3 linked regions of the Arabidopsis thaliana genome follow. The protein of the gene in region 1 interacts with the protein of each later gene in a pairwise test. Each region holds a gene or a part of one and is shown in the gene's direction. Other genes may lie near its edges. The genes, in order: AT1G15280, MAGO and AT5G02530.

What was found.
Region 2: the proteins of AT1G15280 (region 1) and MAGO interact in a two-hybrid assay, tested with the Arabidopsis thaliana proteins (one study listed by BioGRID).
Region 3: the proteins of AT1G15280 (region 1) and AT5G02530 interact in a two-hybrid assay, tested with the Arabidopsis thaliana proteins (one study listed by BioGRID).

What each region holds. Positions count from the first base shown.
Region 1 is NC_003070.9:5,247,850-5,259,881, forward strand, and holds AT1G15280 (CASC3/Barentsz eIF4AIII binding protein), read left to right. Parts: upstream 1-4,435; 5' UTR 4,436-4,543; intron 4,544-4,670; 5' UTR 4,671-4,688; coding exon 4,689-5,086; intron 5,087-5,438; coding exon 5,439-5,538; intron 5,539-5,696; coding exon 5,697-5,902; intron 5,903-5,981; coding exon 5,982-6,676; intron 6,677-6,884; coding exon 6,885-6,987; intron 6,988-7,332; coding exon 7,333-7,443; intron 7,444-7,620; coding exon 7,621-7,676; intron 7,677-7,990; coding exon 7,991-8,051; intron 8,052-8,337; coding exon 8,338-8,365; 3' UTR 8,366-8,483; intron 8,484-8,569; 3' UTR 8,570-9,014; downstream 9,015-12,032. Other genes in the region: AT1G15240 (phox (PX) domain-containing protein), read left to right, coding at 1-51, 226-352, 453-535, 618-755; AT1G15250 (Zinc-binding ribosomal protein family protein), read right to left, coding at 976-1,022, 1,112-1,213, 1,320-1,455, 1,530-1,532; AT1G15260 (LOW protein: ATP-dependent RNA helicase-like protein), read left to right, coding at 1,985-2,521; AT1G15270 (Translation machinery associated TMA7), read right to left, coding at 2,984-3,064, 3,601-3,642, 3,996-4,051, 4,156-4,171; AT1G15290 (Tetratricopeptide repeat (TPR)-like superfamily protein), read right to left, coding at 9,478-10,935, 11,241-11,322, 11,404-11,516, 11,649-11,780, 11,858-12,032.
Region 2 is NC_003070.9:399,470-408,269, reverse strand, and holds MAGO (mago nashi family protein), read left to right. Parts: upstream 1-3,813; 5' UTR 3,814-3,868; coding exon 3,869-4,084; intron 4,085-4,322; coding exon 4,323-4,499; intron 4,500-4,743; coding exon 4,744-4,803; 3' UTR 4,804-5,170; downstream 5,171-8,800. Other genes in the region: ALG12 (homolog of asparagine-linked glycosylation 12), read right to left, coding at 1-34, 132-197, 449-548, 720-802, 881-949, 1,123-1,190, 1,281-1,367, 1,478-1,549 and 11 more; RA-5 (RAS 5), read left to right, coding at 6,482-6,495, 6,603-6,675, 6,762-6,809, 6,900-6,947, 7,035-7,106, 7,184-7,339, 7,442-7,545, 7,824-7,920; VAD1 (GRAM domain family protein), read right to left, coding at 8,550-8,786. UniProt on the Arabidopsis thaliana protein: Core component of the splicing-dependent multiprotein exon junction complex (EJC) deposited at splice junctions on mRNAs.
Region 3 is NC_003076.8:561,864-570,968, reverse strand, and holds AT5G02530 (RNA-binding (RRM/RBD/RNP motifs) family protein), read left to right. Parts: upstream 1-5,043; 5' UTR 5,044-5,192; coding exon 5,193-5,381; intron 5,382-5,513; coding exon 5,514-5,699; intron 5,700-5,790; coding exon 5,791-5,859; intron 5,860-5,943; coding exon 5,944-6,182; exon of another isoform or gene 6,183-6,441; coding exon 6,442-6,637; 3' UTR 6,638-6,884; downstream 6,885-9,105. Other genes in the region: AT5G02540 (NAD(P)-binding Rossmann-fold superfamily protein), read right to left, coding at 249-449, 572-618, 692-776, 904-982, 1,060-1,213, 1,310-1,389, 1,894-2,125, 2,243-2,360; AT5G02520 (dentin sialophosphoprotein-like protein), read right to left, coding at 7,129-7,175, 7,264-7,321, 7,394-7,452, 7,539-7,620, 7,712-8,859, 8,951-9,068. UniProt on the Arabidopsis thaliana protein: Export adapter involved in nuclear export of spliced and unspliced mRNA.

The sequences.
Region 1 (12,032 bases):
CTTTTGCGGCGGGGAACTGTAGTTGCTTCTGGAATTCAACGGGTTGAACAGGTGAGAACCTCCACTAGAACTCCTTCCTTTTGCACAGTGAGAGGTAGTGGCGAAAGTCACAGTGAATAATGGAAAAAGTATGCCTAACAGGGATATATCTCTGTGATGTCTTTGGTCTTGTTATATTTCAATCCGTGGTGAGATTTGAAAGAGCTCTTTGGTATGACCTCTCAGATACTATGGCCGGATGGTGTATTCATGACAAAGCATCCAAAAAGGCAGCAACAATCCAGCATTTCTGAAGAGGAGCAGAAACAAGAAGCAGAGAGACGAGCAAAGTTTGTTCATGAGCTGATGATCGGTAATGAGCGTCCTGTTATCTGATTTTTTTTTTTTGCATCAATGATTGCGAAGCTTAATTGAACTAACATAAATGTTTGAAATAAACCCTCAACTCACAGAAAAAGCCCCAGCTACTATAGTGAGTCTTATAGGACAAAAGGAGTATGAACAATGTGCAGAAGATCTTTACTTTTTCCTTCAGGTAAACATTCCACTTGATTTCAGGTTTGTGCGATGCTTACATGCATTTGATGATTTCATTGTTAAAATTATTCTTGTTTCAGTCATCAGTGTGTTTGAAGCAATTGGCGTTTGACATTTTGGAGTTGTTGCTACTATCAGCGTTTCCGGAAATGGAGCAAGCTTTCAAAAAATTGCACTACGAAAAACACCTCTTTGGTCAATATACACCACCGAACTGATACTTGGATTTTCATTGTAATCATCTTCCATATTACGTGGAGTTTTGCTAGAATTCTTTAAACAGTAATAGCACGGATGCATTTCATTGATGAGTGATCACACTATCAGAAATAGGATTGCACAGTAAAGGAAGTACAAGAGCAAAAAAGATAAACAAACGAATTAAAAAAAAAAGCTACATAGCAAGAAAGAGATGGCAAAACGCAAACTGAACAATGCCTAGGAAGACGAAGCTGCAGCTTTGTTTCTTGGGGTGGCTTGCGTACCTGATTCACAGAATTCCATCGATCAGATTGAGCAAGTCTTAGATTATATCAAATATTTAAGTGAAGCAAAGGGTGCAATGTAGCTTTACCTTCTCTAAAGCAAGTCTTGAACCTTCGAGGGACATTACGGAGATACCTCATCCTACCAGTTCCTGTTGTCTTTCTTCTTATTGCCTTCACACTCCAGTTATCTGCACACAAAATCATAAATTCCAGGACTCTTTCATATATCTCCAATTCTCCATGATCAGACCCAAAATTCCAAGACAGAGACAGAAATAGAGAGAGAGTACATACATGTCCTCTTTCTGGCAGCTGGATAAGCACATGCCGAGCAACGACTCTTCTGGATGTGAAAGCTCCGGCGACCACATCTCACACAGAGCGTGTGTGACTTGTTCCTCCTCTTACCAAAGCTCCCTGTTCCTTTACCCTGTCATTTCCAAAGCACCGGTTACACATAAGTCACACATGAGCTTACATGGAAAAAAAATGCCAATAGATTACCATTGCCGCAGATGCAGGGGATGATCAAAGTTTGCTCTACAGAAATCTTTGCGGCTCCGAGAAGACGACTGTGTAGCGTCCTTTAGGGTTTTTCCTACCCAAAATGGATCTTCATTGGTTACCGCCAAAAATATGGGCTTCTTAATGGGCTTCATGGGCCTGGTTCTGATATTACCTCGAGTCAACTGGCATACAGTATATATAATATGAGTAGTGAGTGGTGGTGGCAATGATAAGTAGGGGACCAATTTTGAACACTGCTTATCAATGTGATGACGATTGCTTACCTATAAAAGTGGACAACACAATCAACAAGATGACACCTTCTTAAAGTCTGACACTATCAGCTTGCTTCTTCAACTACTACATGCCACTAAATCAATGTTAGGTTTCCTTTTGAGATCCCTAGTGACATAAATATGGTTATCTTCTCAAAAAAATGAGCAGCAAGAAAGATGATGAAACCTACATCAAAATCAATTCAGAGAGTTGGTCGTTTCTTAAAGAAGACTCTTGGGAGCATCAAGTCCACTATCTGCTCTAGTGATTACAAAAACTTACCTAACGACACTCCTCTCTTGAGCCCTTACTCCTGCAGCCGCCGCTGTCCAGAAGATTCCCAAACCCAAACCAAAGAAAGCTACACCGTTATCTGTTGTGACACGGCTGTGGCAGATACAACACACCAGAAGAGTCTCAACAACCAACATAAAAAGAAACCGAAGAAAGTCGCTGAGCCATTCGAGGATGCAAAGAAAAGAGGTGACGCGTTGGCGCAAAAGATGAAAGATCTCAATATGGTGGATCTGAGAGACGTGGATCACGCATTGGATGTAAGGGAAGCGCTTCGATGCTATTCAAGCATCAGAAGTCCTGTGTATCTTGACATTGTTGACAATTTCTTCACAGACATGTATTACGAGTTCTCTGATCCTCGTACCTCTGCTAAGATCAACGGTTCAAGGAGAAAGGCAGGCTCCTTCAGGCTTTAAAGTTCCTCTGGATCAGCTTTGCTTTCACGGGCTATCTGTAGTTCTTTCATCTATAGAGTATGCACTTCTTAAGAACAGTGTTAACCATTACACACACCGCTTTGGTAAAATCACCTGTCACCACCCTCAGTTTCTACCTCATCTTGTAGAGTCAAGTTACGCTCCTATTCTCAACTACTATCAATGCAACATATTTTCCACTTCAAGTTATGACAACTTACAGTTTATAATACTATATCTGAAGATAGAGATGTGACACCCTACTACTCGATTCTTGACAAAATGATTTTAGGGTAGATACCACTTTTCTTTTTCATGAAAAAATGGAGAAAGCAAACATATGTATGGAGAAGCGAAGTTACTCTTCTCGAATTATGATAAAAAGTTACATCAACACAGGATTATCTGTTTTTTTCACTTGATAAATTTGCATTTTAAAACACACTTCATGGATAAAACGGATCATTTCTTGCCACTCTTCTTAAGTCCAGAACCTCCAAAGGATCCCTTCTGCGATGCCTTGGCTCTAAGCTCTTTAAGGGCCTGTTTTATCATTTTCATTCAAAACAAAACAGGTCAGGCTTTCGGTAACAAATGATCACTGTACTTCTCATGCGAAAGAAAGGCTAATGAGTCTTTCACACAATTGGGTGGAAAAAAAGTAGACTAAACATCCTAACATGGGCAAATGGTCACTATTTCATCAAAGTAAGAAGAAACTAGTCCATATCATCTCAAAAGAATCTGTAATGAATACCCCTAAACTAACAAATAATTAATAGAAATGACCCATCTAGTTGTAGTCACCAGCTATAAAGTCATAATTAGAGTCAGCTTGATTAGTAGACCAAACTGACAAAGTGGAACATATTAATGCACAACCTTTACAAAACCTTTACAAACCTATGTATCTAAACAGAAGCTCTCTTGTGAAGATACAATCTTTGATTCGTATTTTATAGCTTTCCATTGAAAGAGGAGCCCAAACATATAAGTTTAACTAGATGCATTTTTCCAATCACAAAACTTCATATGAACAAAAAGAGAAAACAAGTCAGAGCATCAAAGTGGGAACTCACCTTTTCCTCATCTTTCTTCTTCTGAATGTTAGCTAAGTCAGTCTGCATTGATACCAAATCAACATTTCAGCAATTAGAGAATGTCTAAGAGTCATTAATACACAAATAGTATGCAAACAAAATCAAGTGAAGAAGTCAAGACTGTGCCCTTAAAAACACTGGATCAAAATTCGAACTTGCGTATAAATCATTGAATCCGAGCAAAATTAATGATTTATGAGTCACTGAATGTTAACAAATTTTAAGAATTCAAGTTAGTTGGACAATCAAAACCAGATCCAGAGCAAAAGCATCGTTTGATTCGAGGTCTAAAGCTAACAATATAAGCCGATTTAGCTGAAGGCAAATCAACAGAAAATCCAACTCTTAAAAGAAAAAAGAAACAGTAGAGTCACCTCGTCGTATTCCTTCTTATCAGCTTTAGGCTGCTTCAAAGGTTTCGCCTTTCCTCCTGTTTAAAACCAAAATAAGATGAGCAGATCGTAAACGATGTCTCTAATCACTTTATTCGGTGAACGAATCACCAACTCAAATCTCTGTATAACAGCAACGTACCTTGCTTGGAAGACATGATTGGTTCGTTGAGCTAGGGTTCGATGTTGAGCTCAAAATTGGGGAAAAAGTAGCTGAGAGTTGCAGACGGTATCGAATCTCTCTGATTGGGGCTACGGTTCATATTTATAATGAGTTCGTAGTAACAACGCAACCTATTAAATGGGCTCTGAAAGTGTATGGCCCATTAAAAGGCCTACAAATTTCTTTTTGGGCCCGTTAAATACCTTTATTTGGGTCAACCTAGGTCACAGTCGTTATATTTAATGCGCGAAATAACAAAATAAAATCGATTAATTAACAGTTAACAAAAGGTCTGGCTCCATTCGATTTCATTGGAAACCCCCAAAATCGCTGAAGAACGCCTCTCGAGCTCAGATAGGGTTTATAGGTATGCGCGAGCTTTCTTCTACATAGTCGATTAGTACGGAGCGCTTGAGCGACTCTTTCGATTTCTCAATTGAATTTCTTCTTCATCTAGGTTTTGGATTTACGAGTACCACTCTCCTTTTTTTCAGGTTTCTAGAGAGAATTTCATGGCGACATCTGAAGCGGAATATGAGAGTGATCCCGAGGAGCTGAACCGCTCCTTGGCGACGAGGAGGAGAGAAGCGAGTGATGACGATAGTGATGATGATGATGCTGTTAGAGATGTGAAAAATCAGAGGGCTGTGGTTGATTCTGACCTATCTGATGAAGAAGTTGGTACTGTGAAGTATGATAATGACGAAGATGGGGAGGATAGTTATGAGGATGATGAGGAGGAAAGTGGTGGAGGAATCGATAATGATAAGAGTGGTGTGGTGAAGGAGGCTGGTGATATGAATGGAGAGGAAGAAAATGAAAAGGAGAAGTTACAAGCTGCTGTTCCCACTGGTGGAGCTTTTTATATGCATGATGATAGGTTTCAGGAAATGTCTGCTGGCGGAAACAGGTTTACTCTCTTTACTGTGTTTGTTTTTCACAGCTTTCTCAATCAATTCTGCTTCAAAATCTGTCACTATAAGCTATCAAGTATCAACTCAACCTTATTATGCAAGGGTTGGATTTTTCAAAGTAGGTATTAACTTAGGATGAAATTGTATTTAGAGGAGAGATAATTGACTCTAAGGTGGAGTTATTGACCTCTTATTATCTTGCAATTTTATCAAGCATGAGGGGTTTGAGTAGCTGCATTGGGGATTGCTTAGTTCATACTATTGGGAAATATGATTTTTTCTGAATATAGCTCTTCCTCTCTACCTTCTATCTGTCGATTGATATAGTTCTTTATCTTGCTTTCGTAGGCGAATGCGTGGTGGGAGAAGACAGTGGGGCTCTGGAGAGGAAAGAAAATGGGGACATGACAAATTTGAAGAGATGAATACTGGGGAAAAACATTCTGATGTAAAGCTTCTGTCTATGGTTTTTAGAATAATTTTAGATTCCTCTTATCTCTTAATTGCTATAACATGTACATGTGACATATGTTAGCTTTGTTGTATTTATGCACTTTCCGTCTCTTATCTTTTTCCTTTCTTTCTTAAACTGCATTTGATACACAGCAGAGGATGTCTAGAGGCCGATTCAGAGGTCATGGTCGGGGTAGGGGACAAGGGCGTGGATACGCTAGAGGGAGCAGTTCTAACACATTAACCAGTAGTGGACAGCAAATTTATGTTCCTAAAGCTGTCTCACGAGGGAGAGGACCCAGGAAATCCGACACTCCCCTGAGGAATGAAAATCAAGCACATTCTGAGCAAAGCAAACAGTGAGTTCTTAAAAAAAAAATCCCCTAGTTGAGTGAAGGGTTTTCTCTATTATAATGTACTTGTGTACTGAATTTGTAGGTTACGAAATTCTAATGGGTCTCAAAACTCTCGTGAGAAAATGCCACACCTCGATTCACGGCGTTCACCAACTGCCCCTGCTAAAACTGAGAATCAAGGTGCCCATGCCAAAAAGAATGTAGCTGTGTCAAGTTTGAGTTCCGCTTCTCCTCCATTTTATCCTTCAGCGCCGTCCAGTAATGTGGTACATGGTATACAAGTTAGTATGGAAAGACTCCACACAAATGAAAGTGTCACGCCTTCTGGGAAGAAGTATAGGAATACAAAATCCGGTTATTCACCAGTTTGGACTGCCAAGACTCTTCAGTCCACTAGTCAAGGTAGAGGTGCACCTGCTGCTGGGAACACGTTTTACCCGCAATCTCATAGTCAAGGTGACAGATTTTCATCACCAATGCAACTCAATGGAGATTCAAAAGGCACTGGCCAAAGACCTTCCGGCCAGGGTTTTGATCAGCACTCTGCTGTTGTTAGATCATTGTCTTCCTCTCCCCAGAAAACTAGCTTATCAAGAAATCGGTATCCTCCTGATGAAATAGAATCTTCATCGGAAACAGCTGCATTGATTGCTAAAGGAAAAGGGACTCTCAGGCCTGGTGGAAGCAGCTCTTTTATGTATAGTGGATCCCAAATGATGGGGCGGCCAGAAAGTTTGACATCTGCTGACAATTCTAATTTCCCTACTTTTCTGCCTGGTAAGTTTTTTGGATGACGCTTTTCTTTGTAAAATGGATGAGTTGAAAGAATTTTCAGTTTCAAATCATGCATGGTGGTGAAATTGAAAGCTATTGACGCCGAGCCACCTAGGCCTGGTTGTTCATATATACTATTTTCGGAGTCCTGTTGTACCAGCTTGGGGAGATTATTGCATTACTTTCTAATTAAATTCAAATTGAAATGCAGTTATGCAATTTGGTGGTCAGCATGGTGGGGTTCCGACTTTTGGAATGGCTTATCCAGGATATGTCCAGTCTGAAGATGGTGTTAGAAATCCGGAGATGACATGGTAAGCTAGCTCCTTCCCCTTCTCGATGAACTTTGTGGATGCTAGTTTTCAGAAGTTCTTGGTTGTAAGCATTTCAAAGAATTAAGAATTAGATATCGTGCGTATTGGTTGCTGAATTTCCGTCTTATTTGTGTTTTTATATGTTGTCCCTTTAATCACCTTTGTGCGGGTCTACCTACTGGAAAAACAAAACCTGTGATGGTGTTGTATCATTAGAATGTTTACTTTCATTCTGGATACTGTGTTGGTTGAATGCTATGAGCTCTTCATCTATATGACTATATCTAGTTCCTGATTTTATTCTTTCCCCTGCTTGCTGCTGTGATCTCTTTATATGATTGGCAGGATGCCAGTTTTAGCTGGTCCAGGAGCTTTAGGGGCTTCATACAGTCCACCACCATATGCGGCTCACCAAGCACACAACCCAGGGTTACCTTCCTCTGCGGGATTCTCCAGGTTTAGAGATTAATTGCCTTCGTTCTCTTAAATGTTTTTAATGCAAAAACAATGTTAACTGACGCAAATTTGCATTGTGTTTTTCTCTTATTTAAACCTACTACATATGCTTGGCATATATTTATATTTGCAAAGCATGGATTTTTAGTTTGCTTAATCCAGTTACTATTTTTGCAGCAAAGACAGTAGCACAAATACCCTTAATGACCTGGTCAAACCCATGGAAAGTCCTGGTTAGTCGTATTGCAAAACTTGCTCTTTCTGTTATAATTCTAATGGTTACACATCAGGTGTTTGTGTATAGTATTACGCTTATTAGGGAATGAATTTGCATTAAAAGAAAGAAATCATAATGAAAGACTATGTGGTTGGATGTGATAGATAATTAGTACATAAGCATCTGGAAATGAGATATGGGAGATGATGTTTAGGGAATGCTGTTTCAATAAGCACTTTTTCAAAATTTGTCTTTCCTATTAAAATCACGAAATGAGATTTGATTGTGGGATCATTATATCTGAAGTTAAGCTACTTTCCATCTGTGTAGAGGTTGCAGAGAATGGGGTTTCAGAACGGCAAAGCAACAATCCAAGCAAGCAGCCTCGTAGGTGAGCTTTTGAAGTTAACTCGAACCTACTCTGTCAAATTGATCATTGGTTGATATGGAAGTAATGGAACCATTTAGGATTAGGGAATCAAATTGATCATGGGTTGATATGGAAGTAATGGAACCATTTAGGATTAGGGAATCATGATGCATTATGTCTACGAATTTAACTTGGAAATAACTACATTCATAGACTTAAGGTTGAATATCATATAGGATTCATGTAGAGTAAGTTTTGTGCAATTTGATCCGAATAGCCGCTGGAGTTGTCATTGCTGTATATACAGGTACTCGGAGATGACCTTTAGCAAGTGAAAACATTTGTGAGAATTTAAGAAGGGACTTTAGGGACACCTTGGCGCAGGGCTATGTTGCTTCTCCAAGCTTTGTTACAGAACACTTTTAAGGCCGCAATTGTTCCTGAAAATCTTAGGTAAGTGATTCAAATTTTAGTTACCGGGGATAGTAACAGGGTAATAGAAAGTGGATGTTTGATTGTGCTTGTTGTTCTTGTTGCAGTTTTATAAGGGAAGGGAAAAAAAAACAAAAGATAATAGTAACGACTACTAGTAGCAAATAGAATGGAGAAGGGACGTAGTGGCTCATATAAAGCTATGGGAGATGTAATGTATTTGTGTTTCGTGTTTTCCGTCATCTGCTTGTTTGGTATTTTACCATTTTAAGCTATTTTCAGGAGACTAGTTGTCCTAAACTTTGGTCAGCATCCTGTTTTGTGTGTCTTTTTTTTTCCGAGAATCTAATCTAAAGTCTCTCTTTTGAGCATGTAAATATTTGTCGCAATGTTATTTCATTTGTTTTCTTCCTATGGAATCACATGAATAGGAGCTTGCTATAACAATAATTGCTTCAGAAACTCGGAAATTCTTAGCTTTCAGACCAAATTGAATGCTGCTTTTTTTTTCTTTGCTCAATGGGAATGCTTTCGAGCCTTCGATGATGATCTTTTGATCTCACAGTTCCGATGCTGCTGAACATCTGAACCACTCAAATTTCAGTGGTTCTAGATAGCTGAGGTGCAGTAGGAATGTAGGATTAAGCGCCAGTAAGCTGTCTTCGCTTTGGGCAAGTTATAATTTTGAACCGACCACACAATCAATAGGCGCAGTGGCCTTCCCAATTGGTTTTGAAAAAACTGGTATCAGATTCAGATTGTCCACCTAAAATTGCTGTAGATTTCTGGACTATAATAGACCAGAAAAAACTTCCAAAATCTCAGAAACAAGACAACTAGCGACGAAAAATTTACAACACAACGGGGTCAAGCTGCACCTAGAGTGCAACATAAGAATAGAAGCAACCAACTACCTATCCCAATAAAAAAAAGCCAATAAACCAAATGAGATGAGAATATTCTCTGCTTCACAAGAAGCTTTATTTTGTTAACCTGATGAAACCCACTTATCAGATCATGCACAAACTGACGACGGTTGATGGTACAGCCCAGCCGCAACATTTGTAAGTCGCACCTTGTTCTTCCTTCTCCTTTTCTTTGCCACAATCACAAACCCTTCACCTCCATTTGTCTCATTTGCATTCGCTCCATTCTCCTCTTCTCTACTATAAACTATCTCGGTTACTGCACTATCCTTTTCGGAGGTACCTCCTGACTCAGCTTCGGGGCTCGTTTTGCTAAGAGCAGCCGGAACCTCTTTCTGTGATGACTTTACTATGAAGCTGGCAAGCTCTCGCTTCTTCAAATCAACTGCATCTTTCTCAGCCTTTAGGCAACTGCTGGAGTCGACGGATACACTTGCATCTTCACCTGCATGTTGAGAGCTATTCTGCAAGGATCTTCTCGGAACAAACTCTGGTGCATCTGGATTCATGCTTCTTGGCGTCCCAACTCCATTTGAGTGAATAGCACTATAATATGGTGGTGAGTGAATCCCACATGAAACTACAGCCCAGGAAATAGGGTCTGCAACCATAATTGGGTAGCTGCCTATTGTTGCTGCTGAGCTTTGCAGATCAATAACCAAGAAACCTCCAGGGTTGTAAGGCTCTGCGGAGGCTGATAGCTTTGTCCGGCTTATATCAGAAGTTTTTTTCCCACGATAGGACCCCAGATCCCCTTCAGACTCTGACGTTAAGTTTTCCACTGACTCAGCACTTTCTTGTGATTCTTGTTTCTCACAGTGAAGCTCTGTGCCTTCGATTGGCAAATCCAACATTACAGTGTCGGACTTGCTTTCTTCTCCAGATGACGCACTTGAAGTCCTGTATATCTGAGTTTCAGTTCTCTCCAAATTCAGTTCTAATTTTTCTAACATTGGCTTCAGAACTGTACCTGGTGGTGCCAAAGCAACCTCTTTGTATGAGAGAGACTTTGAGGCCAAAGTAGTACTGGTCACAGCAGCAGCACCAGAAGCCTTTAACTGTGGTTTAGTTGTATTTGTACTGACATCTATCTCTGCATTCTTTAGAGCCCTACGGGGTGATGACTTAGAGAGGGAGGGTCCTTTGCTTGTTTTCTGCAAGGGAGAATATATATTCTGTTGCTGAACATCCTGATTCCTGTTGTGATGTTTATTAAGCAACATTCTCTTTTTCATAAGATCAGGCTGCCTTTGTCTGGATTTCCTTCCAGCACCATTTCCGGATCTCCCCTTTGAGTATGCCTCTTGCCAGCCCTCGTCTAAAGTTGACTCTTCCACAGTTTGCCTGTCTACATTTAGCCTGTGTACTACAATATCACCTGTCTCAATATTGGTCTTATCAACAACTGTATCAGGATCATTTACTTCGCTCCTACTCTTAGTGACATCCGCTTCTGCCACATTGTTCCATGTAACAATGTCAATCTGTGAAGCAACTCTATGGGCGTCATCATCAGCTGATGCAACCTTATCATTGACCTGTAATATCTGTCGAAACAGAAGTAATGTCACAAACCTTTGACAGGAAATCCTGGAGTGATATATCTATCTCATTCTTTTCGTTTCAACATCTCACATGTTTTTTCTTTGGACTTCTAGTGCATGGAATGCCTTTAAAATTTAGATCAATATTCCAATTTAGACATACATCTAGAATACCAATCAGCATAGTTCAAACTTTTCAAGAAGAGTTCTACACAATTGACAGGTTTTTTATTCAGGTTATTATTTGATCAACAAAATCCAAAATGAGTGACCTGAGGAAAACAAGGATATTAGAGTTTAGGAATTACCCTGGCACGCCGATGTTTCCTGTGAGCAACATTTCCCTTAGTGTCTGGATCAGAACTTATATAGTCCAGGAGATCTGATACACTGCAAGAGAAGGTCGGACTTTGGTGCCAATGAAATAATTACCATATCCTTTATGTGTTCTAGGAGTTTCCATTTTAGTACCTAAGGTGGCCTTTGCTCGCGATGGAAGCATCAGGCTTTGGGATTCCATTTCGGCCTGCTTCCTGCTGCTCTATGGCTCTTGATTCAAAATATTCGAGCCATGCAGCAGCATCCTGTGAGAGACAAATGGAGAAAACAAACATGTATGTCTCAGAGTTCAAAACGTTCACTTTGTTACTTTGCTAGTAAGAAATTAATATTCGTCTGAGATTTGTATGCGAATGAACCAGAAGCAAATCAATCACCTGTGTACGAAGGTCATCTGCTCCAAGTTTTGCAGTAAGTATCTGAAGTGTAGTTTGTTCATGTTGCACACTCAATGAATGTGCTTCCATGAAAGAGAGAGCCACTGCTATTGCATGATAGCTTGCCGCAGTCTGGCAAAGTAAAACACAGAAAGCATGATTAGTTTAAGAATGCGCGCAAATTGAGGCAAGATAGATAAGGGAGGAACCTGAATATGGTCAGCTCCTAGCAATCTTTTATTGCTCTTTAGAGCTTCATGCAGGTACCTTAGAGCTAGATGATCATTCCCTACTTCTTTTTCCATCATAGCCACATTGATATATGTGGCAGCAGTATTTGGGTGAGATAGCCCACAAGTGAAGTGAAGAAGAAACAACGCCCGG
Region 2 (8,800 bases), 4.8 Mb from region 1:
TAAGCACTTGTATCCATCTACAGAGGAATGCTCGCTGCACCAAGCATGACAACAGTGTTACATGTTGACCACCAGTGGTATCTTTTTTTATTTACTATGAATTGCTTTCTACTATATGATGAAATACTCACTTCACCAGGTACGTGAAATTTCGGTTTCGCAACTCCTCCACTACTATCTCTTCTTCTTTGGAATATCTGCATTGCACAACAAAATTTTATATCCTCCTAAATAGATAAACAGATACCTCTTCTATGTATTCAAAGGCAATGTAGAATGATCCCTTTTCCAACAAAGTGATATTCGTATCCAAGAAAATGAACATGAAAAACAAACAGATGCCTCATCTCGCACAAATGGGTGCTTCCGAGTGGCAACTTTTTTCCATGTACATTGATATTTCCTTTACTTTTACCAACCCTAAAACGAGGTAGTACAGCTAACATACCTCCACGGAAAATCATCTTCACAAAAGCGAGATATTCCATTCATCGCACCAAAAGTGTCTATGTGAACCCACTCTTCCCCAGCTACATTTGCAGGATGGCCTGAGAACCATGGAAGGCACCAAGTCAATTAATCATATTGTAGGCAAATTATCAACCAGAGGTAGATAGACACCACAAAACAAACGCTGACCAGCAGATGTTTCTTGTTTGATAGCCAAGTCAATGCTGCTGCATTAATAACAAACCCCAATAACAGAATAAGTCACTCACCAATCTGATGCAAGCGCTTTAAAGCATAGCCGCTAGGATAATTGTAGTAAGATGCCATGAATGTTACAACCGTGCACCCTGCACTATAGAACCAGGTTTAGTAGACTAGCAAATCTCTTTCCTTCTCTTACATAGCAAAGATAATTGTTTACTATTTCTACCTGATTGCAAAAAACGCTAGCATAACCATATTCACCAGTTTCCAAATCGTTTTCTTCCTATTATTGTAGCTGTACAACAAAATCGGATTATATTAAGAGGTCGGCCCGCATTGGTAGTAATTTAAAGTGGCATACAGAAATTATGTGTATCCAAACTCCAAAGAGCTCTTAAGATACAGAATCAAAGAACGTCCTAGCTATGATTGAAAGCTTAGCTAGCAAACATCTGATAGAACTCATACATTCTGCTAGCAGCAACTGCAGCAGACAAGTTGAACATTGGCACTGAACTAATGATAAATCGGAGTTCCTTCATAAATCAAGAAAGATAGGTAAGCCGATGTCAGAAAATGGTTAAGAAACGTTGATGGCTACTGAGATAAGTAATCCATCTGAATACCTTGTGTGGAAGTTTAGAGTATAGTATAACGAACGATAAAACTGGAACTATAAAGAATGGAACCCTTCTGTCAACTAAAGTACCAAGCTGCATAAAAAGAAACCAAATAAGAAAATTTGTAGAGATACAATTAGCGATCCTAACTAGAAAGGAACAAGACAAACACTATCACAGATGTTAGGAAGTCTGGTATTTACCAATGAAAGTGGATAAGCTACAAGTAAAGACCGTGGGAGTGCTGAGGTGAAGTACCAATGTATGGAATGTGTCTAGTTTAGCAACTAATTTTCAAGGACAACACATCATTTCATACAAATGCAAGTGCCACAATATTAAACTTTGAATTGGAAATTCCAAACGGTTATCATTGTACAGAACGCAATCCTTTAATCAGGCAGTAGAAAAATGCTAGAACATTATGCATCATATGAAAAATAAATCAATTGAGGAAACAATTTTTTTGAAGGATACACCCCAATCAGAACTCCGGTTTAGAATGGAGTTAAACCAGAAAACTTCAAATTCTGGCCAGACAAACTTCTTCCACATGATAGAGTCAACGAAAATGGTAAGACCTGTGCTAAGGATTATTCCATGACCACAGAAAATAGACTCGGGAATTAGTGTCTGAAGGGAAAAAGCAAAATAGATCACAGAAAGAAGAGGAATTTTAACCAACCTACGGCCAACAGAGCGGTTCCAACACAATACTTAAGTGCTTTCCAGAAGGAGATCGATTTGGTCTGTCATTGACAAACATAAAGCACCCGCATCAGATGGAACGGTAAAGTATACGGCCAATTATACATATACAGAAGTTGAGAACCCAAACTATTTAATATTCGTCACCAGCTCACCAATAAAAGTTCAAGACCAATAGGCCCAAGCAGTAACATCGTATCGCATCTGAAGATTACAGTGGCAAAAATCTGATTATCGGATAACAGAGATGTCAGCAAACCCCATAGTTCTGGATAGCATGACCGATTTTCTAAATCTATAATCGAGAAAATATGTCACCACAAAGATAATACATACCAGGAAACTCAAAGCTGGATAAAAATTTCCCTTTAACCAATTACCATATGCCAGATTGACTGCAAAATCAAAATTTAAAAACATAAGCAGAACCTAGTAAGGCCTACGCTAGATGGGTCATGGGAAAGATTGCTAGGACATCTGAAGGACCACTACTAGTAGAGTAAGATGAATAGAAGTAATTACCTAATCCCAAAGCTAGAATATTAGGAAGAGGACGAGTGCAGTAGAAAAGAAAATGAAACTGAAGACTGGTGAAAAGTACAAAGAAAGTTTCCACTTGATTTCCAAACTTTTTTTTTATCTGACAAACCAGTAGATTTTGGTCAGTGGCAGTATATAGGAGAAAAACAGCCAACAAGATGCATGTAAGAGATCCCAATTCCAAGGACATGGGAAGGGACAAAGAATCAGATAGGGGAGTCAGAAGTGTGGTATGGAAAGAAGCACTAAAGGAACTTCATACCTGAATCCGGAAAAATCTTAGTGTGGACAATATGATGCAGCCCAACACCAAACGAGCTGCAAGACAAAATGATAAAACTATGATGTGAATTGGTTTTGTCTGTGTTTAGGGGAAAATAGTTAGCGATTCATTAAGGAATTATATAGGGAGGGAGAAACAGAAGAGAAACCTGCAACAAGGCTATAAACCTTGGGGAAGCCAAGGCAGCTGATAATTGATACAACAGGTGATGCAAAAACAGAGACTATGAAGGCTCCTGCAAGAACAAATCAGAGTGGAATAAAAAAAAAACCATCCACTAATGTATAATGATAAAAAAAAAACCATCAACAGGTGATGCAAAAACAGAGAGCGAAATTCAACAGCCCTCCTTACCAATAAAAGTTCGAGGGACAACACCGGGGAACTCCAAATGATCATACTGATAGGAAAAAAATAAAAAGACAGAAGTCGGTAAAAATTGACATCACTCTAGAGATAAAAAAAAAAAGAGTAAAGCTTCAGAGAAGAAGTAAAAAGAGAGGTCACTCACAGAGTCCAAATGATGGCGATGGTAAAGAATGTCGTGCATTGACTTGAGACGAGTGAAACGGTTTCAGTAAAACGGAGAAAGAGTGTGACTCTAAATACTTTGAAAACCTACCTGAACGTTGAAGCTCTCTTCCACCTTAGTATATGGTGCCATGACCACATAGATTGCAGCTACAGATCCCAGAATCAAATCATATCCTGCTCCCACCAATCGAAAGTTTCAGTTATATAAAAAAAGAAAAAGAGATCATCTGGCCGCCTAAGAAGACGAAACGAAGAAATTACCATAGGATTGAAGAAACTTGGCCATTTTCGAATCCGTCGGCATCGTCTCTGTATCGGGGAATCGGAAATCAGGCAGCCCGGATACACACACAATTTCGATGGAAACAGAAAAACTAAAACTGGGCCTTAACTTTTCGGGTTACAAATGGGTTCTGGCCCAATATGTAAGCCCATTACCTTTTTTCTTTTGCGGGGACGGACTTAAAGAAGGGCAAAGGACACGGAGAGGTAATCTCGATCTCGAGAAAGAAAGAAAAAAAGAGAAGGCATGGCCGCGGAAGAAGCGACGGAGTTCTACCTGAGATACTATGTCGGTCACAAAGGGAAATTTGGACACGAGTTCCTGGAGTTCGAGTTTAGAGAGGACGGTAAGCTCCGTTACGCCAATAACTCTAACTACAAGAACGATACTATTATCCGCAAGGAGGTATTTCTCACCCCCGCCGTGCTCAAGGAATGCAAGCGTATCGTCTCCGAGAGCGAGGTCCTTTTTCTCTCTCTCTTCCGATTTGCTTCTCTCTTGTTAATTGTCCGCGTTTTGGTCAATCGACGCTATAATAGCCAATTAGGGTTTTAGTGATTTTGCTTCGATTTTTGTCGATCTAGGGCATCTTTCCTGACTAGTGTTGTAGGTTTAGAACCCTCTTCGTTGTTAATGCTATTATCTAGGAATAATGGATGATTTTGTACAACCTGACATGTGATTATTTGTCTGCGGGTAGATTCTGAAAGAAGACGATAACAATTGGCCGGAACCTGACCGTGTTGGAAAGCAAGAGCTCGAGATCGTCTTGGGTAATGAGCATATCTCATTCGCTACATCTAAGATTGGATCTCTTGTTGATTGCCAGAGCAGTAATGATCCTGAAGGACTTCGCATCTTCTACTATCTTGTTCAGGTCTCCTCTCTTTTTCTTCCACCCCTTGCCTTACCATCTTTTCTTTTACCTAATCCCTTAACTCTATTGGACTCGATTATATATTTAGGACTCTGCCTTTTAACGTATTCACTGTCTCAAACTTTAACATTTAGGGTTTGGCTGTTAACACTCATCCCTTACATGGTTCTGTAGTTTTTTTTTTTTTAGTTTCTGTATTTATTTGTGCTCTAACATATTCCTTTTGAAACTTTCATGGTTGCAGGACTTGAAATGTCTTGTTTTTTCGCTCATCTCTCTGCACTTCAAAATCAAGCCTATCTAGAGAAGAAAATCAGTTTGTGACATGTCAAGACGCGATGAATTTGTTGGGAACATGAGGACTTTGTGACTGAAGTTTGGTTGTTTTTATGTCTCTGGTTCTCTGTTTTTTTTTTTTGTTGGATTTGGGTGAAAGTGGGTATGTAAGATGTTCTACCTCAACTTTTGGTCCTTTTTTGTGTCAACATCCCATGTGAAGAACCTTTCATGAACCACAACCTATCTTCTAAAAACCATATACTTGCTGTTTTCTTATCACAAATCATTCACTCTCCCTAATGTACATCTACATATGATGCATGTTTCTTTTCCCTCAAGCCAATTTAAACTAAGGAATGTGATCTATCTAAAATACAAAGTATCAAAAACTAGCTGGATTAGTCGATAATTAGGATTGTTTCCATTCTAAAAAAACGCCCTCGGACCATTCAAACTGCTCCTCCAAAACCCGTAAATCTGGTTTTGCATTGAAGATATCAAGAGTAGCTTTTTATGAATCGGGAAGAACAATGGAGGATTCATTTGTCAGTGTCAGGCGGATTACTCACAGCCTAGACAGAGGACGCACCTGCCATTCATCCTCAGGTTAAGCACGCACTAGTCTCCTTTACCTTGTTGTAGTGTGTTGCAGAGAGTCACATGCATATTTCATCTTGTGGCAGGATCAGGTGCATGGTTAGGGCGGGGACTGGCTTGTGTTTGTGCACAGAAAAGGGATCACCACTCTCGTTATTCCTTTGATCTCACCCCTGCTCAGGCACCAACTAGCATCAGCTAGTTAGTTAGTTACCTTTTAAGATGGTCGGGGAAACATTAGTAGCTGGTTAGTTAGTTAGTTACAGCAGCTTTGGGTTAAGAGAGATAAACGCGAAGCCATATATATTGACAATTGGATGGTGTATAATTTATTGTTAGAAAACGAGTCCGCATTTGATATTCGATATTGCATTGCGTTCAAGGTGATGGATGATAAGTGGCTCACAATGCGGGATTCCTACATGGATTTTTTTTTTTTTTTTTTTACATGGATTTTAACGTAGCCTTTCTCCTCCATATAGCTTTGACTTTAAGAGATCAACTCAGTCTTCAGAGACTGAGTGTAAGTAAATTTGTGTTTGTTTGGCAGACGGTGCTGAAATCGACAAGGCATCAACTGGAGAGAGAGCTTCTACTGGAAGATGGGACCCGAGTCCAAGCCTTACCTTGTTTTAACCTCCTCCTCCAGAAAGAGTTAGAGTATATCTCCCAACTTAAAATATAGATGTCAATCAAAAAGCAAGCAACAATTGGAAAAATGAATCAAGAAGACTAGTATAGATCCAACATCTGGGAACCACAAAACAATCTCCAATTGCTGAGTGGATCGTAGGAAGGGCCAATTTACAACCCTAAACTTGTGAAAGAAGAATGAATTTTAATCTTGGCGTTATTGGGCCTCCGCTCCTCTGGACTCTGTCGGGCTTGATCCATTTTCGTTGCTGAGTGGATCGTAGGAACCCTAAACTTGTGAAAGAAGAATGAATTTTAATCTTTTGCATTATTGGGCCTTCGCTCATATTATTATTCAAGGCCCAAACACTGAATCTCCTCCTCTTGTAAATCGCGAGAGAAAATCAGAAAAGAGAGAGAGAGATCTCTGGCTCTGTATCGCTCGCTGCTCTTCCTCCCACAGATCGAAAACCATGAATCCTGAGTAGTAAGTTCCTTTCTCCATCGACACATACTTGGGTCGAAATTACCTCTGTTATATATTTGATTCTCCGGGTGGTTCCTAGGGTTTAATTAGCGTTTTGGGATTTGCAGCGACTATCTTTTCAAGCTCCTGCTTATCGGGGATTCTGGCGTAGGCAAGTCTTGTCTTCTTTTGAGATTCTCTGTAAGTTTTTTTTTTTGTCTTTTTCTTTCTCAGAGATCAAACACTGTAGCTTTCTACATTTGTTCATGTTTGTTGTTCTGCTGCAGGATGATTCTTATGTAGAAAGTTACATTAGCACTATTGGAGTCGATTTTGTAAGTTGATGTTTTCTTTTTTTTCTTCTTGCTACTGATGACGATGCTTTGATCTGACCTTTTTTTTTTTCTTATATATCTCTTGTTCAGAAAATTAGGACTGTGGAACAAGATGGCAAAACAATTAAGCTCCAAATTGTATGTAACTATTTTCACACTTGTCAAGTTAATAGCTCTACGTCTCTTTCCCTTAATTCATATTTTTCCCTCTTCACTTATTTTCAGTGGGACACTGCTGGTCAAGAACGGTTCAGGACTATTACTAGCAGTTACTACCGTGGGGCACATGGAATTATTGTAAGCAACATCTTATCTAGGTTCTTTCTGTTGACTCCTTTAAGTTTATGTCCTAATTTAGTTCTTGCACCTGGTAGATTGTCTACGATGTCACAGATGAAGAAAGCTTCAATAATGTCAAGCAATGGTTGAGTGAAATTGATCGTTATGCTAGTGACAATGTCAACAAACTCCTTGTTGGAAACAAGTCTGATCTTACTGAAAACAGAGCCATTCCTTATGAAACTGCCAAGGTATATATATGCCACTTGAACCAATTCTTTCTTCTCAAGTTTTGAAAATCATCAAACTCTAAGGCTATTATTACTTTCCTGATTACTTCGAAACATTCATAGGCTTTTGCCGATGAAATCGGGATTCCTTTTATGGAGACTAGTGCAAAAGATGCTACAAACGTAGAACAGGCTTTCATGGCAATGTCTGCATCCATCAAAGAGAGGTATTTATCTTACATCGTTCTTTTTAAGTAACTGCGGTTAATATACTCATCATACCTGATGGAACTTTTGCGAAGCCATAATCTCATTTTTGTAAGTGTTTATATAGATCTCAGAAAGTGTCACTGTGTAAGTGACCTTGGAGTGAAATAAATAAATGACTGATGTTGACCTTGCAGTGTTCAAATTGAAAATTCAAGTAGTTGTACTTAATCAATTTGCAGAGAGTGTGCGTTCGTGTGATATATGAGAGAAATTGATCTCTGTGGTTTGGATGCAGAATGGCTAGCCAACCAGCTGGGAATAATGCAAGACCACCGACCGTGCAGATCAGAGGACAGCCTGTGGCACAGAAGAACGGCTGCTGCTCAACTTGATTGACGTGACCAGCCTAGCAATATCCTTTCCAATCTTAGAACACGTGTTCCTTCTTTTGACTAGGCTCCAATTCACTACTACTTGGTTTTTACACAACATCCCCCCAAATCTGTCTTGTCTGTAATTAAGCTCCTTTGGTTGGTTATTATTCTGTTTTTCACGTTTCCTATTTGCTTTACCTCATGATGAGGTCCTCATCTTTCCAACATTCTTGTTTTTCATTTCTGCCTTTAGTGGTTTTCTATGGGTTTCTTTGCATAACAATGTTCTACGACTCGATTTAAAACCCACAAATTGTTTTTTCCTATATCAAACGTGATCATCATTGAAAACAAAGATAATCGTCTCGGGAATTTAAATTAGAATCAACTTTTGTTTGTTTGATTGAGACATTGAGAGAATCCAATAGCGAGAAAGTGGAGTCACCAGTGTGAATTTAATCTTTGATACAGGTGCAACACGAATACAATTGATTACATCATTTCGTTTAACAGAGTCTCTGCTCATATTCATATGAGTAGGTAGGTATAACAACAACTTTGCAAAGTAACGTCCGATAATACATTACATACATACATGCATATATCCATCCGCATTCTGCACAAACAGAGAGTAGGGTGTAGCAAATTTACTGTTTGTTGCGGCGGAGGAGGCGTTCCAAATGGTGGAACTGAGCCTTCAAGGCGGCATGGTCTTGTCGCATCCTCTGCAAACGATCCTCAACCATCATCATCTCTTCCCTCAGGAAATGCATTCTCTTCTCTAACCACCCCAAAGTCTCCCCGTTTACACTGTACTCGTCGTACCTCTCATGATACTCCACTTGCCCCCCTCCTCCTTTTTTCAGTAGCACCACTATCGTCACCTGTCCACACTTCC
Region 3 (9,105 bases), on another chromosome or scaffold:
TTGTAGCTCTTAGGTTAGAGACACTGATCATCCAAGGAATAATCAAGTGATGAACAACCCTTCTTTTTATTGTCCATACTATGAAAAGATTGACGCGGTTACATATTCACTCGATAAAATATTTAAGCATACAACAATGCATCTCATGAGTTACCATACGATAATGTGGAAAGAAACATCACAATCTCTACTTGTTCTTACTTTTTTTTCACTCTTTAGGTAACATTCAACAAGAACACCGTAGAGATTCAAGTGGTGTCATCGAAACCGAGGTAGTTCTTTTTAGAAACCGAGTTAATGAGCTTAACACTGAAATCCCAGAGTTTCTGTGCCAAAGTCTCATCTCTAGCAAGTTTGCTTGGAGTGACTTCGTTGCAATCAGCAAAGTACTTTCCTGTTACTCCCTTCACACTTGGATGCAGAGCAACATAACATGTTGTTGCTGCTCCCTGACAACATCACAAGAAGCATCAAAATATTGTTCTTAGATTTGTCTTTATTTAGTAACATAGTCATAGAGTAAGATCTTGAATTTGGCTTAGTCTTAGGATTCTATCTACTAGTATAGTACCTGAGGTATATTTTTCCACAAGTAGAAGCTGAAGAACTTCAGGAACCCTGCCAAAAACGGAATTAAAAGGAATGATTTGAAGAGAAACAGAGAAACTAAGAAAATGATGTGAAATCTTACTCATTAAAAGAGCAGTGTGTTGGAAGAGATTGGTGAGAATAAGACCAGGGTGAACTGAATTTGCTGTTATGTTTACTCCTTCTTCCTACCAAACAATGTCCCCAAAAAGATTTTGAGTTTTTATTTTCTCAAGTGTTTATAAATTTGAGATAGTACTAACACTTTGAAATATCATATATGTGTTTGTGTTTGTCAGTGTGTGTGAAGGCGACCTGAAGCTGACGGGAGAGCTCATTAGCATGCAATATATTGGCTAGTTTCGATTGTCCGTAAGCTCGCTTATCCGAGTAACTGAGAGAAAGAAAAAACATGGTTACAAGATCAAGATTTATTTAGTTTTGAAACAAGTCAAAAACTGTAGAATTTACCTGCAAATGTCATTGATGCTGTCGAATTGGATTCCTTCTTGGTAAGTATAGATATGAGCTACAGATGATACATTCAAAATTCTTCCTTCAACACCACTGGTTTTAGCTGTGTTCTTCATTGTGTCCAAGAGCAAGTTTGTCAACAGAAAGTGACCTATACAGTATAATTCAAGAATTAAAAATTTCAATATTTTCAGGTTTAATTTCTGAAACCAAGTTTCTTTAACTTTTTTATAAATATAGGATTTACCAATGTGATTTGTAGCAAACTGCAATTCGATTCCATCTTCAGAGAGTTGGTATGGACAGAACATTACTCCTGCATTGTTTCTGCAAAATCCATTTTGTGTACAATTGTTATAATTATTAATTAAAAGTATGCACTTTTTTTTTTCACCCAAAAAAATAAAATAAAAACAGATAACATTTATTTTTCTTGCTACACACATCTACAAATCTAGTGATACGTGTGTAGAGATTTGGTAGTAATAAATGATACCACATTGGAAAATGTAAAGTAACATTGATGTTGTCAAAACAAGAAGAAAGAAGTCAAATGTTTAGAGCGAAAAAATAATGTCATTGTCACAGCATTAAACATCAAAAAAGAAAAAGCTGCATAAATAATTATTGGGTGTCGTTGTTTATTACCTAACTAACGTAAATAGTAGTACTACACAATAACAGAGGAATGGTAACCAAAACAGTGTTAATTAACGTTGTTAATGTGGAAACCATTCAAAGCCTGTAATTGTCATAAGAATCAATAATCCAAACGCTAAAAAAGGCGGTGCAAACGCTTTAAACTGAATGAGAGAAAGAGAGAATGTGTACATGAGGAGATTGAGAGGAAGATGGAGGGCATGAAATTCACGAACAAAGGCTTTGATGGATTTGATGGAAGAGAGATCTAATTGAAGAAGAGTGACACGTGCGTTTGCGTTTTGTCTGAGAATCTCTGTTTTGGCGTTTTCTGCAGCTCCCATGTTTCGGGCACCGATCACCACATGAGCACCTCTCTTCGACAGCACTCTCGCTGTCTCCATCCCTATTCCTCCTGTCCCTCCTTATTACAATAATAATAAATCACATACCAAGTTTTGTTAGCAATAAATAATTAAAACATGTTCAAAAACGTAGCGATGTAATTTTTTTGTAAATGTATGCATATGCATATGTGAACCTGTGATAATTGCAGTGAGATTAGTTGCATCAATCCCTTGAGTAACCTCTTCAGCTGTTGAAGCTGAACCAAATCCACTTGGTCCTCTTCTTCCTGTGATTAGTGAATATAATCCCATTTTTAATAGATTGACCTCAAGAAACAATGTAGAAGAGAGAGAGCGAGAGAGACAAGAGAGGAAGAAGAAGATAGGTTTGGGAGAATAAAATGGTACTATGAGAGAATCATATATATAAGTGGCAAAGAGTCATTAATGCTTATTTTTGGTACCTTCTAGTTTCATGGACCTTATTGTGTGAATTTATCCATGAATTATAAATACACATTAAACCCATCCCCACCAATATTGAATATAGATATGTACAGTATGTATATTAGTTTTTTCTTGTGACGGTCGATTCTCGATAGTGCATGCATTCGAAATCTAATTAAGAAAAAGTTCGTATTTTTCTTCGATATAGAAAATAAACTCGCTGTTGTCAACTTAAGCATGTCTATTTCTAAATAAGTTGTTGTTAAGGTCTCTAAACTTTTAAGTCCTTTTTCTCTAAAAAAACCCTTCTAATATTGGTTCTAAATTGCCGACAATGGCGAGTGTTTTCCCTCTCTTATTATTCGAAAATGTTACTATACCATAAAAGTTTATTAATCTTTACATAATTTACACATTACTTTCCCCTTTTCAAAACGAACAAAATAAATCGTTTGCTATCAAACATGTTAATGTACGTTGGTAGTAATGTCCCCTCCTTTTTTAGGGGTATTTAATGTCCTCTCGTTTTTCGAAGATTAAAACAAAAGAATATGATTTGTGTGTATAGAAAAATGAACATAATCTAAGTAAACGTTACATTTGGGGATTGATGATTAATCCCAATTTTTGTTTTTTTTTATAAAAAAACACTGAAAGGTATTAAGGTGCTCTAAGCTATTGAAAAACAAAATGTTGAATAAAAATATAGGGATGACCAAATTATTAATGAAAGGTTGGTGAGAAGCCGTTGGTTACTATACTGAGTTTTCAGCTACTTGACATCCTCCTTTCTTCACATGTTTCCAGTGAATGTGTTACCACTTACCCAAATCCCTCCTAATTTAGGGGCGAGTTTCATTTAATTAACCATCTAATTAGTTTCATTTTTTCCCCAAAACTTAGGGAGGTTATTATGCAACTAAACCGATGACTATAGTCTAAACCAACAAAATCAAAGTGGTGTGGGTTTGTTTCTTTCATGTAGAGACGAAAATACTTGACTTTGTCATCCATATTCAAACCTGCATTGGATGTTCTTGATAGAAAATAAAGAAGAAAACCTAACATAACTAAACAAGGTCTCGTACAAATTTTAAACAACTGAAGAGCATAAATCTTATACTAAAGAAAATCATTAAAACTCTACTCAAGAATACTTCATCGGTCGTTTACAGAGTTTTTGACCGGCAGATAAAGAAAGATATATACTTATTTGGATAAAGAAACAATACAGAATGTATAAAATTAATTCATAGCCCGTGCTCATAGATATCGATGTTCCTTTCACATCCCGTTTCCAAGTTCAGAGAATCCAACTACGAGATTTGGATCTTTCTTTTTTTTGCCTTGCAAAATTGATTGCTGAGAGAGCCTCATAATGACATTGTTAGGTGGTAGATTTACACAAAGGTACACACACACACCACTATCGAGATTAATGCCATATTTATTATTGTTATTATTGTTTCAACATACTAATTCGTGATTTAAACAATCAAAACCTATAATGCTTTATGATGTAAAACTGATAGTTGAACAAACTTGTCGTGGTAGCTGAGAGTATATTCTTTTCAAAGCTGAACTTATATTTAGCGATTATTTTGTTTGTTTAGTACTCTATAACCGGTTAACATTATTTTGTTTGGCATGCAACGAAACAAATCTAAATAGAATGGACCAACCTACATTTGTAACTGCTTCAGTAAAAAAAAAAAAAAAAAAAAGAAGAAACAGAAGAGATTATATTGCTAGATCTAGCACCTATATATTAGGATAGTCGAATTATGTAAGTAGAATAATGAAGGCATTTACTCTATCTATCATGTTTTTAGCGGCGACTGGCACATGACATCCGGCTCATTGGCTCATTTGTATGGGGAAGTGATGTGACCATGTGAGACTATAACGTCTAACGATATTGACTATTTATTTCCTTATATTATATTACTGCCAAAAAAGGCAGCTCAAAAAATACTATTGTGCAACGGTTATTATTCCATGGATCAAAGATATCAATAATTTTTTGTTAACCACATTTTGTTTTTATCAACATATTTAAATATTTTGTATAGTAATTAATGTGTCATCATTTGAATACAAATCTGTATATCATATAATAAAAAAGTCCACTTAACCATTAAAAATTTCATAATTCGTCTAGAATTCTACATAAAATCTTCTGGTCAGGTTATAAAGATGTCTTTAACACTCATGGTACAAGTAATTTGTTAAATAGCAAGGCAAGATTTGTTTTCCAAATTGAGATAAACAAAGAAAAAAAAGGGTTGACTTACTAATATTAATACGTGAATGTGTATGTACGTTGTGATACAGTCACATACTGTGCCCATACAGGCAATGCGTGTGCTTCACATGTACTTGTCCACATCTTTGATTATGACAATGGCCGGAGGGAAAAAAATATAATAAGTTGAAGTGGACAATGAGGATGGGCCACTGGATTTTTATGAGTCCAAAAGGCCCATTAAGAACTCAGGGGTCTATTTAGTAAAACGTAAGAGTTTAAGGGCAACAAAACAATATTGATTAAAGCTGAGGTGTTTATCGTAATTCTCCGAGAAGATAATATCTGTTTCTCTCTCTCTCACTCTCGCGGTGCGTAATTCCATCTTTGAAATCTCAGAGCAACAAAACCCTAGCTACATTTCTCGATATCGGAGAAAAGATCCGGCGAAGATGTCAGGTGGCTTAGATATGTCACTTGATGATATCATCAAATCTAATCGAAAACCTACTGGATCTCGCGGCCGAGGAGGCATTGGAGGTGGCAATAACACCGGTGGTCGCGGTGGTTCCGGTTCTAATTCCGGTCCGTCTCGTCGGTTTGCTAACCGCGTAGGAGCCAGAACGGCGCCGTATTCAAGGGTCAGCCCATTGATTTTATATCTCTCCCTTTACCTTCTCTTCCTTCAAGAATCAGAGAATTCCTTTTAGGGTTTTTGTGAAATCAAAAAAAGCTGAGATCTGTTTTCGTTTCTTCTTTGACGAATAAAACAGCCGATTCAACAACAACAAGCTCATGATGCGATGTGGCAAAACGACGTCTTCGCGACTGATGCGTCTGTGGCGGCGGCTTTTGGGCATCATCAGACTGCTGTTGTTGGTGGTGGCTCGTCTATCGAGACTGGAACTAAGCTTTACATTTCAAACTTAGACTATGGTGTCTCCAACGAAGATATCAAGGTTTGTGCTTTAGAAGTTTATTATAGTTCCAGTCTTACTTATGAGAAAAATTGTGGTTTTGTTTCTGATCTTGAGATGGTTTTGCTTGTAGGAGCTTTTCTCTGAGGTTGGTGATCTTAAGCGATATGGGATTCACTATGATAGGAGTGGAAGATCAAAGGTACTTACTTGATAAGCTTTATTGTGCTTCAGAGATTTGTTTATTGAATCGTCTTGTCATGATTAAACTTAATGATGCTTTCAGGGGACTGCTGAAGTTGTTTTCTCGAGGCGTGGGGATGCATTGGCAGCTGTCAAGCGTTACAACAATGTTCAGTTGGATGGAAAACTGATGAAGATAGAGATTGTTGGGACTAATCTTTCTGCTCCAGCTCTTCCCATTCTTGCTACAGCTCAGATTCCTTTTCCTACTAATGGGATACTTGGCAACTTTAATGAGAACTTTAATGGCAATTTCAATGGCAACTTCAATGGAAACTTCAGGTTTGTCTTGTTTCCACACTTTGTTCAATATGGAAACTTCATAGTATCATTTGCTAGGGTCTATCAATCTATTGCTAAGTCAGTTAGTATCTTGATGAAATACTTATGTTTTGTTCTTCTGTTAAGATGGCCTATGTTTTGTTCTTGAGTTAGTATATTGACGAAATGCTTTTTTGGTTAGGCCAAGTATATCCTGATAGGTAGATTACACGAACCTTGTACTCCTATTAAATATTTTGGATAACCTGTTATGCCACAGAGGCAGAGGAAGAGGCGGTTTTATGGGGCGTCCTCGTGGTGGTGGTTTTGGCGGTGGTAATTTCAGAGGTGGCAGGGGAGCTAGAGGACGTGGTGGTCGTGGCAGTGGTGGAAGAGGACGTGATGAAAACGTATCTGCAGAGGATCTTGATGCTGAATTGGACAAGTACCACAAAGAGGCAATGGAAACAAGTTAGAAAGGGGAGATTAAACCTATTGCATGTCTACATGTATTCCTTCCTTTAGTGCCGATATGCTTTTGTATTAGTATGATCTTTAGATTGAATGTCAATGGGTCTGACATTTTCGAGCTTTAGCTTTTGTTTTTTCTTCTCTTGGTGAGCTTCTTAGCTTTTTGCAGTTGAGTTCAGAGAAACAAGCATTGTGTGTACCGTGGAACTCAAAACTCTTCTAAAATATCAATTCAAAACACAATTCTATCTACTCTCTTACTACGTATACTTTGTCGTTTCAAACTTTTGAGCTTGAAGCAAACGAGATCCACTATGAATTTACTTTGTAAAAAAAATAAAGGAAGCTAGTAATACTAAAATATTAAGAGAGTTTCACGACCAACAAAATGATTACAGACAGGGTCAGAGACCATAACAAACCTACTTATTAATTATGATTACAGGGTCAGAGACCATAATAAACCTACTTATTAATTACGAAAGTTTGAAATAGTTTATTTGATTTTCAAGTTTCTTCGCTTTCGAGAATCCGATCCTTTTCCTATCAAGAAGAAGAAAGAAAAAAACAACAAATATTGTATTATATAGTGAAAGCCGTTTTCATCAAAAAACAGCTTTAAAGAACTAACCTTTAGATGGAGCGGAGTTAGTCTCACTACCATCCTTTACTTGGATAAGGTTCCGATCCTGCAAACCCAGACAATGTTAAAGACTCTGTTCCCATGGTTGGTCTAGTGTTAAGGAAATCAAATCACAAACCATATCATAAACAGGAATTTGGTTACGCCAAAACTCTAGTGATGACACAAGCACCCTTCCTGCAAAACATTAAACAAAATTCTTTTTTTAACTAATGCTTTCAACAGAGCCCTTTGGAAGTGAAGATTTTCTACTCTCTATTAACCTGATCTTGACCGTTTCTGTCCCAATGAATCAGTAGACGCCGCATTGGTCTTCTGCTGCTTCACTTTTTTTTCCGGTGTTACCTTTGAATTACATAACAACAAGAGCATTAACACTCAAACAGGAATATCAGAGGATAACCATGTAAGTGGTGGCATAAGGGGAAGTGGTTACCTCCACATCAAAGTCGATTTTCCTCTTTATTTTTTCCCATGACAAGTTTTCTTCAGCTTCTTCAGCTTCAGACCTGAAATGATTCATAGGCTCTACAACATTGCTGTTACTTTGAAGGGTCTTCTCACTTTTCTTTGATTTTCCTTTCGACAGGGGATCTTGAAATGCCTTCGATACCTTCACTCTACCTTTTCGCTGTACTGACGTCAGTGATTCTTTAGTAGCATTCTTACTTGTTAATCTTTCAACATCTGTACCAGAAAGCCTTTTACCAAATCCCTTCACTGGTGATATCACTTCATTATTGATAGCCACACATACATCTTTTTCTACGTCATTGCTCTTAGCATTATTTAAACCTTCCTTACTATGTTCTGCAACATTACTAGTCGGACTCTGGAGTTTACTCGCATCGATTTTCCTTTTGTTTTCCGCACTTTTGACTTTCGTCCCAGAGTAATTCATGGGATCTACTACATTGTCGTCACTTCTGAGGATCTTGCCACTTTTCTTGGATATTCCTTTCTTTTCAGGTTTGCTACTCTTGGCTAAGTCTTTAAGCAGGGAATGTGGAGATGCTGTTGTTACAAGTAAACCATTTTGCTGTTCCGAAGTAAGTGATTCTCCAGTAGCACTTGCACTTGTCACTTTATCAACATTATCTGCACCGGTATGCTTAATACCACTTCCAACCGCTGGAGATATCACATCATTATCGATAGCTTCGCTCTTATCTTTTTCTACATCACTGCTCTTAGCCTTAATGAAACCTTCACTACCATTATCTCCATCATTACAAAGATTCTGGACTTCACTTTCATCGAGTTTCCATTCACTGTCTTCATTATTGATAACCTCACATCCATCTCTTTCTACATCACCGCGCTTAGCCGTATTCAAAAATTCACTACCATGATCTCCATCATTAGCAGTCTTCCGGACTTTACTCGATTCAAGTATCCTTTTTATTTGCAGATGAAGAGACCTTCTCCTTGCAGTTTTTATATCTCTTGCTCCAGAACCACCTTTATCATTAATCTCTGCAATATCAGTCTCAGTCACATTGCTTTTCTCTCTGCTCTCAGCTGGATTATCCTTAAGATTCCTGTTAGAGTACTTACAAGGTGATAAAATGGGAGGACAAGCTGCTAAGAAATCATAAAACAAGGACATATCAATAAAACATAGATGCATCAGAAAAAAACACACACACACAAACACATTGCTTCAAGACCTAACCTTTCTCGATAGTCGAAGGGACGGTATTAACATCAGTGCCAAAAGAGTCTCCTTCAAAGCAACTGTTACAAACTCGTTCCCAACAAGGAGGAAACCCGAAGATGAATTCACGAGAAATCTATTCCCAAGACCAGACCACAGAACAAAAGAGAAAG